Cricetulus griseus: one gene and its partners. The protein of the gene in region 3 interacts with the protein of the main gene of each other region in a pairwise test. Links are inferred from orthologs where the notes say so. Each region holds a gene or a part of one and is shown on either strand. Other genes may lie near its edges.

What was found.
Region 1: the proteins of Tnfaip3 (region 3) and Arrdc3 interact in binary tests that used the Homo sapiens proteins (3 or more experiments, as listed by UniProt). The two-hybrid records come from large-scale screens. The link is inferred for Cricetulus griseus from reciprocal best matches to the Homo sapiens genes TNFAIP3 and ARRDC3.
Region 2: the proteins of Tnfaip3 (region 3) and Ikbkg interact in binary tests that used the Homo sapiens proteins (3 or more experiments, as listed by UniProt). The link is inferred for Cricetulus griseus from reciprocal best matches to the Homo sapiens genes TNFAIP3 and IKBKG.

Annotation. Positions count from the first base shown.
Region 1 is NC_048595.1:301,357,603-301,361,256, reverse strand, and holds part of Arrdc3 (arrestin domain-containing protein 3), read right to left. Parts: exon of another isoform or gene 3,284-3,654; intron 2,486-3,283; coding exon 2,404-2,485; intron 767-2,403; coding exon 619-766; intron 1-618. UniProt on the Homo sapiens protein: Adapter protein that plays a role in regulating cell-surface expression of adrenergic receptors and probably also other G protein-coupled receptors.
Region 2 is NC_048604.1:1,290,489-1,294,182, forward strand, and holds the start of Ikbkg (NF-kappa-B essential modulator), read right to left. Parts: upstream 2,907-3,694; 5' UTR 2,809-2,906; coding exon 2,806-2,808; intron 2,289-2,805; exon of another isoform or gene 2,135-2,288; intron 1-2,134. Other genes in the region: G6pd (glucose-6-phosphate 1-dehydrogenase), read left to right, coding at 3,676-3,694. UniProt on the Homo sapiens protein: Regulatory subunit of the IKK core complex which phosphorylates inhibitors of NF-kappa-B thus leading to the dissociation of the inhibitor/NF-kappa-B complex and ultimately the degradation of the inhibitor.
Region 3 is NC_048595.1:270,728,109-270,731,762, reverse strand, and holds part of Tnfaip3 (tumor necrosis factor alpha-induced protein 3), read right to left. Parts: intron 2,280-3,654; coding exon 2,089-2,279; intron 1,331-2,088; coding exon 1,183-1,330; intron 1,035-1,182; coding exon 864-1,034; intron 1-863. UniProt on the Homo sapiens protein: Ubiquitin-editing enzyme that contains both ubiquitin ligase and deubiquitinase activities.

The DNA of each region.
Region 1 (3,654 bases), about 31 Mb from region 3:
TCAAAATGGCAACATCTTATTTTGAAAAAAGAAAAAAAAAGGTTGTTTGATAAAATGTAAAACACATTTTTATTCAATTTAAAGATGTTATCATTTGTTTAAACCAAATCATTTTTGAAGCCAAATTTGAATTAGTATAATAAAATGCAATTAAAAAGAAATTAATTTTTTCCCCATGACAATGATGAATCCCCATCATGTGACACCTAGCTCTAACTAGTATAAAGCAATGTGGTACAAAGTTTAGATTGTGACCGGTTCAAGTAAGAAATTTAAGCCAACATCCTAAATGATTAATATTGTTTGTCAACTAAAGTCATTTAGGGACTGGACCTTGTTATTGCTGTGTTCTGCAAAAAAGACACTTCATATCACATATGTGTGAAGTGTAACTTTTAAATGTACCTAGCTAGCACTGTGTGAAAAATAGGAGCATATTATTCATTCGATTGTGTGCTCTAGTTCTACCTTATTTTAAAATAGGTATTTTTAATGGAATTCAATAGAATTGCGTTATTAAAGCTATGGAGACTGCATGACTGGGCAGCATAGATTAGGTGGCTATTCTTTATGTGTTCAAATGTCAAAAACGCAATGAAGAACCCAGGCACTTCTTACCAGTAATGAAGGAGTGTTGATATCTATGTGCTCAAAGACTGTGAATTCCTTCTTTAACTTTACTGGTAGAAGCCAAGGCCTATGCAATTCAGCTTTCACCCAATAGCGCACACTACCGTGTCGGCCTTCGAATGAGGTAGCAAGTGGTCTGTGCAAAATATAAAAATGGAGATATTAATCTTACACCTCTTTCAAAAATTCAATAGTCGATCAGAATAAACACGTTACCATGTTGTACTGTCTATGAGGTACCACGTGTATAAAGGCATCACCATGTTGTACTGTCTGTGGACCAATGAGGTACCACATGCATAATCTCTTAAAACTCTCCAAAGGGGATATGATAAGTCACTGGGGAAAGGCCTTTTATTTTCAAATAATGATAAGAGTTAAATGTAAGAGAAATTTTGTTTTTAATGCCAGAAGAATACAACCCCCTTAAACTAAAGAGTCTACTTTTAATGTTGGTGGCAAAATCATGAAAGTTAAATGAACTATTCTTGAAAAGGTAAGCATTTTAATTTTAAAGTAAGTATGGCCTCACTATTTCTACCTAAAAATCCCAGACCCCAGTCAAACATTCAGGAAAAAAAAAAAAGAAGAAGAAAAAAAAAAAAACCCTCCCTATAGTGCTCTACTTTTGTTAGCTAGGAATTAGAACCTCTTTTTATAGCAACTAATTAGCACAGAAAAAGCCTAGAATAGTCTCACAATTTCCTATTTCATAAATTCATAGAAACAGAGAGGGTGCTTTTTACACCCTGTCCAGCCAAATTCTAACTCTCCCGTGACTGTTTTCCACCTTTTCCTTCCAAGGCTTGAAAAGAAAAATCTTCCCATTAACCTAGGTCAGATAATCAGAACTGTTTCTGGACTTGGCCAGGTTGGAGGTTTTGTTGTCTGTAGGTTTTAACAAGCAATCTGCTCCATTAGAGAAATGTGCAGTGCTGTTACTTAGAAGGCCATATTAGATTGGTAGAAGCACCAGTATTTTACAATGACTATAAAGTCTATGTAGAATTCCAAGTAAAATTAGTAAACAGAATTATATATATCCAAGGCACGACAGACTGTCATTATGAGTTAAGTTTATTATATAGATCAATTAGTGCCAGTTCATAAGTTTTAGTAGCAGCTAAAAGGCATTATGCAAAAATGTTTACATTCTCTCCCAGAAAGTTGTTAAAATGCTGAGAATGTACTGTATTTCAAGCTTTCCACTAAGGTAGCTCTGAGACACTTCCTTTTAAGTCCAGGTTATGCTATCTTACGTAATGTCCCCAGTAGTGGTAGCTCTGTGTACAGAAGCTACTGAATTTGTGTCTAAAGAAGGGGACTCCTTGAGTTAGGGCAGTCTTATGGTTACTTTCTAACATTAACCACTCACATTAGCAGAAAAGGTGGAATTCTGAATTCTGATCCATCGAGCTACTGAGATTCAAGTGAAGTCTCTTTTAATAAAGGACAGGCTAGTCAGAAATTTGATTGAAGACTGTTTGATTAGCACCTTAGGACTCACCAGTGCTAGATTAAATATTAATATTCTATATCCTCCAAACACTACTGCAGAATACTAACAACTGACTGAGTGTGCTTTCTGTAATTTTGCCACATTAAAAATAGCTCCTTCTATTAATTACATTGTTTTCCTCGACCAAGTTTCTGTAATGAAAAGGGTTTTTTTCAAGAAAGAAAAAAAATACTAAAGTATTTAAATATGGAGTATTTACAGATTGTGCTTAACTAAGTATGTCCAAGAAAAATCCTACTACTTATAATACTTACGTCTGTGGAAGCTCGAAGCTAAATGCATATTCATGCCTTCCTGAATGAATAGTGTTGAACCCTTCTTCGGAATTATCATCATCTAAAAGGAACAAAAAGAAAACAAAAATCTTGTCGTTAAAGGTCTACATTCTCTGGCAGCAATCTTCATGGATGTTGTTCGTTATCATAGCCACATGCTTTCATCTTATAGATCAGAGTTCTAATCCCAACTTCATTATTTGTTCTGGCTGAAAAAAACCCTTGTTCTTCACCTTCCTCATCACCAAAATAGGGATGATGAACACTTACACTTATAGGCTGTTTTATTTTAATGAAAAAAAAAATCCAAATAGAGAAAAAAAATTTTTATCAAATACAGTATTTAACAAAAGGTTCAGGTATCTTGACCACCAATTGCTTAAGTGTGCATAAACTAAAAACGAACTTTTTTAAATTGCCAGTTTTAGGTGAATATTGACTTTCTTGAGGCAACTATTCATGTTGCACCCAGGAAGCAGAGGTGGGAGGACCGCTGCAGGGATTCAAGGCCAGTCAGTGGGGACCCTGTCAAGGGGAGGTGGGGTTTCAGTAACATCTCAAAGCTAAAAATATTCACTTAGACAATATTCAAAACTCAATTGGTTTGAAGCAGCAACTAACATCAGGCTTTTAAGTTTAATTACAAAGGACTGAATTTAAAATGTCTTTTTACAAAGAAACATTTTGTTCAACACTTGAAAAATTAAGTTTAATTGGGTAGTTTTCACTTTTGAGGGGTGTGGAGGTGGGGTGTAATGACATTTCATTTTACAACTAATTTTTTTTGCTCGAATTCATTATGTGTGTCATGAAAATAAACTAACAAAAAATGTGGAAAAGGTTTAGGTAATTCGCCAACCTGCTACTTGCTTTTCTTGGTGTGAAATCCTTTTTAATTAGCTGGGGGAGGCACTGGTGTAAGGCACTGTATCTTTATATTTTTCTTCACCGAAGTATTGTAAATACACAAAAAACCATGACTTTCATCCCCAAATTATGGTGACCCGCCTATGTCTGACACTGCTTCCCGAGCCTCCCGTGGAGCCCCCAACAGTGTGTTAACCCTGGAGCCGGGCCGGGGAGCCGGGGCTCCTCCATCAGCCCTTCCAAGGCGCCCAAACTTTGCCTCCCTCCCGGTTCCCTTTTGTGCCAGCTCAGCAGTCTCATTGAGGCGAGCCACGGCCGCGGCGCCGTGGTAAACAAGTGCCTGGCTGTCAATCAAGAACTAGA
Region 2 (3,694 bases), on a different chromosome or scaffold from region 3:
ACAGACAGACAGACAGACAGACAGACAGACAGACACACACACACACACACACACACACACACACACACACACACACACAAATAAAAACTAAAATTAAATATTTTTAAAATAAAAAGAGGTCTTGTCAAAATTAATTTCCCAGAACTAGAAGTATATCTCAGCAATGGAGTACTTGCCAAACATTCACCAGACTCTGGATCCCCAGCAGTACCCAAAAAAGTGAGTCTCCCAAATCCACTTCTATCCACAACTTCCCTTACTATCAGTTGAAAACAAATCCATCCCCCAACTATCAGGACAAAAAATTTGAGCATTTCTGAGTTTTTGCTTGCTTGTTCGATTAGTTTTTCTGTTCCTTTATCTTCCCCCCTGCCCATCTTTTTAATTCATGAAGACACACTATAACATTAGGTATTTTAAGTGTGATCATGGTGTTGTAGTTATGTTTATTGAGAGTACTTTCTGAAAGAGATACATAATGAAACACTCACATGTCTGAAATTCACTGCATAACAAAAGAGATACCTATGGATAAACCCAATAGAAATGAAAACACATGTCCATATATAAATGATCACAGCAGCATTATTCAAAGCAGCCAGAGTGGAAACAATCCAAATGTCCACCAACTGATGAATAAGCAAAATCTGTTACAAAAACAAGAACACATGCTCCAAATAATTGCTAAGAGAAAGAAATGTCACTAAAAGCTATATACTGTATATACTTACAAGCATAAGAAATATCCAAAACATGTAAATCCTGACAGAAAGTAGTTTAGTGGTTACTTAGAGAAATGAGGTGGATTGGAGTTTCTTATTTAGGATTTCTTTTAGGGATGATGACAATGTTCCGCAATTAGTGATGTTTTCACACTCCTATGAACCCACTAAAAACCACTGAATTATACACCTTAAATACGTGAATTGTAGCCAGATGTGGTGGTGTACTTCTGTAAATCCTAGTACTTAGGAAGTAAAAGCAGGAGGATGAGAAACTCAAAAAGAAGGGATCTTCATGAGACTCTCTCCAAAAATTTTGAATTATGGGCAAGTGACACATCTCAGTGGATAACTATTGGTATGCAAGCCTGGAAACCTGAGAACACATTCTGGCCATGACACTCCACACACATCATGCATACACACACACAAATAGTAAATATTTTTAGTTTTTAAATGTGAATGGTGCAGCATGCAAATTATGTCTCAAGAAAGCTGTTTTTGAAAATTATAATGGGTGGAGCAAAAAAGATGATTACTCAGTGGTTAAGAGCACTTGCTGTTGTTGCAGAGACAGTTCCCAGCACCCACATGGTGGCTCACAAACATCTGCAACTCCAATCCAAGGGGACCTCACACCTTCTCCTGAATTCCTTTAGCAACAGGCAAGCATGTAGTACACATACATACTCACAGCCAAAACACCCACACACATAAAATAACATCTTTTCTAAAGAGGAAAAAAAATCATGGTAGAGTACTGTAAGGGCTGTGAATTAAAGTTAGCTATGAGTTGATAGAGACAACTAAGAAATGTGTACATGGAACTTACTATGTTAATATTTCTACTTTTGTACATTTTTAAAGTTTTCAGTAATAAAAGGCTGACAGCACTATCATCCTTCACATGGATTACTGCAATAATCTCTTTACAGATCACCATGCTTTCTTCCCTTGCCTTTTACAATCAATTGACCCCACTGGGACCAGTTACATCAAAGATAACTTTGACTGTTTCTCCCTTTTATCGTGAACCCTTCAAAAACAAAGGCAAAGTCGGTACACTTGAAAAAGCTGAGGCAGGAGAATCTTGTGCTCGTGGTCTGCCTGGCCTACATTTCGAGATGCTGTTTCAGAAAACAAAGTTTCATCAACAGAAAAATGTCTGTGAACTAAGAGTTCTAGCACTTGGGGCCAAGCCCTTAGGCGACAGATAAGCAGAGGGAAGGACAGAAATCAGTCCAAGTAAGCTGGGTCGCGAATCTGCACTTCTTGAATAAATGCTCTAAAAAGCATTCGAAAGCATGCAACAGAACAAACTGGGCCCAAGGTGGGGGGAAGGGGGCTCAGGAGCCTCGGAAGCTGCATAATGGCCACCGATGGAGCCCTATCTTTGGAGAAGAGGACTACACCTGTCAGCAGAGTCGGCCAGAAGTGAAGAGGGCCTGAGCAGCGGAACCCGACCTCTCAGATTGAATCGGAGCTCTCAGAAAGTCCTGGTTGGGCGGTCACCCTTCCCTTCTCGGCTGTGGAAACCCCTGCTTCCGGCTTCCGGTGTCGTAAGTGTGGGATCCGGAAGTAAAACACAGACTCGAAGTCGAGGAGATTAACTGGAGCTGCGAAGCCACAATAGTGCTGCATCCCACTCTGAAGAGAAGCCTCAGACCGCCAGCCTGCATTGGCTAACCGAAGAGCGCAACGCTCTTCACTGATAAAGATCACACACACACTCACACACACACACACTTACACACTTTTTTTTTTTTGATACAGGGTCTCTCTCCTAGCTATCCAGATCTACCTGCCTCTGCTTCCCGGGTGCTTGGAATTAAAGGCGTGTGTCACCTCGCCCACAGTTGTCCCCACCCCATTTTCAAGGCGTCGCATTCGCAATGAAACACCCCAGTTTTAGTCTGGTTCTGTCACTGGGCTCTCTGCCACCAGGTCCCTACCATGGAAAAAGCCTAGAAGAAGCTGCTAAAGGACGCCAAACCGATTGCAAGGGGAGGCGTGGCTATGCTGCTAACGGAAGTGGGGTCATCCAGGAGTGCGCAGGGACTCGAGGGTCCATCGGAAAACAGACCATAAAGTATGGCTGGGGTAGCGATGGGGACGCAGGAGAACTGTGCGGAGCTGTATCTGTGCCAGCAAAGCATCACGATCGCGGAGCAGGAAAGCAGGGACGGCCAACAGGGTGGGGCTGACAAGGGATGCGTGCGCACCTACTTCTGCTACTCTCCCCTCCCTCACCGATGGAGTAGTCCGAAGCTCCTCCTCTCCTGCCTCTCCTGAGGCGGGTCAGCTCAGTCAAAGCACCCGCCCTCCTGCGTTAAACGAGCCAGCTAAGCGCAGCCCCCGGAAACGAGCTGTGCACTCCAGAACTGTAAACCTGTTTGGCAGCAGCAACTAAACACAGGTAAAGGGGGTGGTCTGATAGCACACCGGTGGAGGGATGTGCTTCCCGCTTATGAGCCGCGTGTCCCTTTGATGAGCGCTATTTGTTATGCTTGGATATGGAAAAAGATCTACGAGGTCTTAACCCATCCCATTGTACCCCGCACTTCCCCGCATTAGGCCCATGAGGACTAGACTTTTAGAAGAGAAGGGTCTTTCTGGGATCATTTAGCTTGGCCAGCAGAGAGCTGGGGCTGAACTCCATCATCTGCACAATGAAAAGATGCTCAGTTCATTGTGGCGTTTCTGGCAGAGACTGGAGTGCGATGGCCCCAGACACAGTGCGATGCTCTGACCGCGTCGCTTTCCCAGAGTGGATTCCCTAGCTGAATTCCATTAATGCTTATAGAGATTTCGTAATGTACAGCCCCCAGAGAAGACAACATAGGATATGGCTGGAGCCCAGAAGCAGCAGTTTCTGATTCTGATAAGGTTAAGTTGTCAATGCTCTTCTGTTCTCCTGCCTTATCAATGAGTCTTTCTTCCACCAGAAAACACCATGGCAGAGCAGGTGGCCC
Region 3 (3,654 bases):
AAATGACAAAAATTCCCTTTTTCCCCCTTATGGCTAAATAATTCCATTGTGTACACATATCACAGTCTCTTCATCCATCCATCTGGTGATCATCACCTAAGCTGATTTTTGTAATCACAGGAAGGAGACAAGAGATCTGAACTGGTTAAATTCAATGCCTCCCAGGCAGACTGACCTGAGTTAGAATCTTGACTTTGTTGATGTCAAGCTAAGCATGTCATTTAACCTTTCTGAGTTTCCATGGCCTCATCGATAAAGTAAGACAACTCATGCCAACATCTCATAGGGATGCTATGAAAATGAAATGAAGGAATGTTGCCTGGAGCACTTAGCAAAGTGCTTACTATACATTATGGTATTATAATAATAGCTAACCTGACAAACATCTACTTGCTGTATGCCAGACTCGATACCAAGGCTTTGTGTACCTTAATTTGTCATGTAGTAATAACAGTGGTGGAGTATGCATATATGACTGTCCAACCTATGTTTACCATTCTGAAAGTACTTCCTAAGTCACACTCAAAAGGATGGCAGAATGGTATGTTTACTGCTATTGCATTACTGTGCCATTGTGTATGACTTTAATCTGAAAATCTCAAATCTACAAATCTGACTGGATTTGGGAGCATTTAAGTTTTGATTAGGGATGATGAGATGGCAAAGTCTATGTAAACATTCAGGAATATGAAAGACTCTGCAATCTGAAATAATATTGGATCCAAGCACTTTACATAAGAGATTGTTAATCCATCCTGATTAAGAACAGACTTAAATATAACAATTTCAGTTGGGAACAAGAGAGCAAGGCCGGGAACTCCAGGATCCAAAAGGGTTATGAGTATGAACTGATGTTTTCTTACCAGGTCCACTGTCCTTCAGGGTCACCAGGGGTACAAAGTGCTGGCTGTCATAGCCAAGGACAATGGGGTATCTGTAGCATTCCGGGGCGGGCCAGTGGAGAGGCAAGTAAATCCCACCCACTTTCAAAGGAGCAAAATTGGAACCCGATTCCAAGCTTCTTAGCATTTTGTCTGTTAACAGGAAGAAAAAAAAAAAAACAAAATAAGACCCTGGGTGACTTTCATGAAGCTGTTGAGGAGCCTGGGTTTCTCCTCAGAGCTAAAGCAGCATGGCTGAAAAGCATTTGGAAAAACAAGAAGAAACGAGGAGGCACCTCACCTGAAATGACAATGATGGGTCTTCTGAGGATGTTGCTGAGGACAAATATGTGGATTTCTTCCAGGGAATTATACTGAAGTCCACTTCGGGCTGCGGGAGTGTCTGCCGATGCCATTTTGACCAAATTGTCCCATTCATCATTCCAGTTCTAAGGGAAGGGGAGAAGAGAGGAAGGAAAGGACGGGTTAGCAAGTCACTCAAATGTCACTCTGCATTTGTCCCTGTTAAGAAATCCCATTCATTCTTCTCCTTCATTGAAACAATTGCTTGGATGTTCATCCTCTCCCCCATTTTGGTTTTTCTCCTTTACATTTTTCCACTGCAGAGCAAAGTCAAAGCTGAAGGGAGATACAGACAGCCTTTGCTTTCAGAAAAATTCCCTACCTGGGGCAGGGGGATAGCTCAGTGTTTTCCTAACATGCATGGAGTCTTGGGTTTATATCTAGCACCATGTAAAATCACATGGTGATGCATGTCTGCAATCCTAGCACTGTGGAGGTGGAGGCAGGAAGGTCATCTTCAGCTACATAGCAAGGTCATTTTCTGCTACGTAGCAGGTTCAAGGCCATACATGATACTCTAGCTCAGGGAAGAAAAAAAAAAAGCTTGAGGAGTAAGAGGTACATCCTTCCCTGGATTGATTGGCTGGGAAGTGCCTAAGGAAAGACCATGGTTGGAAGACCTGCCATGACAAAGAAATGCACGCCTAGGGATCTGATGCTTACAAGCCTGAGAAGTGAATTGCTAACTGGGGTTAATCCCACAGAAGGTTCTTGGTGTTTTCCACTTGGTGCACTGCTTAGCTCAACTCATATGACTTGTAAGTCATATGTTCCTCAGGGAACAGGGACTGGCCCAAAGTACCCTTTGTCCACCGTGGAGCTGTCAAACAAGAGCCAAACATACCCGAGTGTCGTAGCAAAGTCCTGTTTCCACAAATTCCTGTGATTTCAGAGACTCCAGCTGCCAGCGGAATTTAAAGTTTCGTGTGTCTGTCTCCTTAAGGGTGTTGCAGAGGGCCTTCCTCAGGACCAAGTCCGTATCCTGAACACCCCACATGTACTGACAAGCTGCATGCATGAGGCAATTTCCATCACCTGAGGACAGAAGGGAGCCGTGAGGAGCAAGTTAAGCAACCCAAAGTGAAGGGAAGGAATGCCCAGCAAACGTTTTCTGGATAAATTAAGCCCACTGCTGGAGGACTGTGTGGTTGATTCTTAATGAAGGGCCAGCTGGTAACATTCCATAAGGCCATGGCAGATGTACGGAAAAAAATTCTTTTTGTTTTTCCTTTTAGGGGGAGGAGCCAGATGACCTCCACTGTAGCATGGCTCTGCCCCTGACTAATTTGGATGATCTTGGGAACATTCCTGAGGTCTTCTCTACTTTGTGGAATGAGGGCACCAGCTTATGAACTCTATAGCTCTCTCTTCCTATTGGTCTTTGGCTTGCTGGCTAAGGACCTGGCACTCCTGCTGTCTAGCTCTCAGGAAGGTTTCACATCCAGGACAGTACACACACCAGGAAGCCACTGTAGCTTGGCCTAAGATAGGGCTGGTCTGGCTATGACTCAATGGTAAGTGACTTGGCCATTCCACTTTAGCTTTGGGGACCTGGGAGTTTCCTCTCCTAGCTTACCAAATGGGATTGACAGTACCAAATGACCTGTAGCCTGCTGCAGGCCCTGCCCCAGCCTCTGGGGCATTATGGGAGCCTGCTTGTAAACAATTATAAAGCCCTTTAAAAGAATTAAAAGGTAGTCGGGCATGGTTGTGCATGCCTGTAATTCTAACATTTGCGAGGCAGAGTTGAGAGAGTCAGAAGGCCAAGTTCATCCTTAGCTCCAGAGTGAATTGAGTATTAGCTTGAACTACAGGAGACCCTGCCTCAGTTATCAGTCAGTCAGTCAATCAACAAGCAATTACAAAACAAAAGTTAAAAAGTATTGACATTTAAAATAATTCAGTGTTTGAGGCTAGCATTTTGAGAAAAAGACAAGTCTAATTCTTTCACTAATTTGTGACTTTTCCAGGATAAAAGTCACAATTCAACAAACTATGCTCTTTCAGTCTGTACATTCATCCTTTTCACTTCTGGACATCAAACCCAGGGCCCCATGAATGCTAGGCAAAGGTTCTCTCTACCAGTGAGTTGCATTCAGTCTCTGAATGTATTCATTTTCATGCCCAAAAGAGTAAACATTTGGGAGGACAGTTGGATATAAAACTAGCCAATTCTTCATTCTCTTTTGGAAAGTATTACATATTTTTAATTTAAAAAGCTAAAAGTTTGGGGGTTTTTTGTTTTGTTTTACATTACTGTCAGTAAAGCAATAAAGCTATTTGAAATTCCATCAAATTCTAATTATAGTGAAACTGTAAACAACCTGTCAAATACGTATGCAGAGCCTGTCAGTATTCCCTCAGTGTGCACCCTTCAAACAACTCGCTGAACTAGTGAACAGAAAAGCTC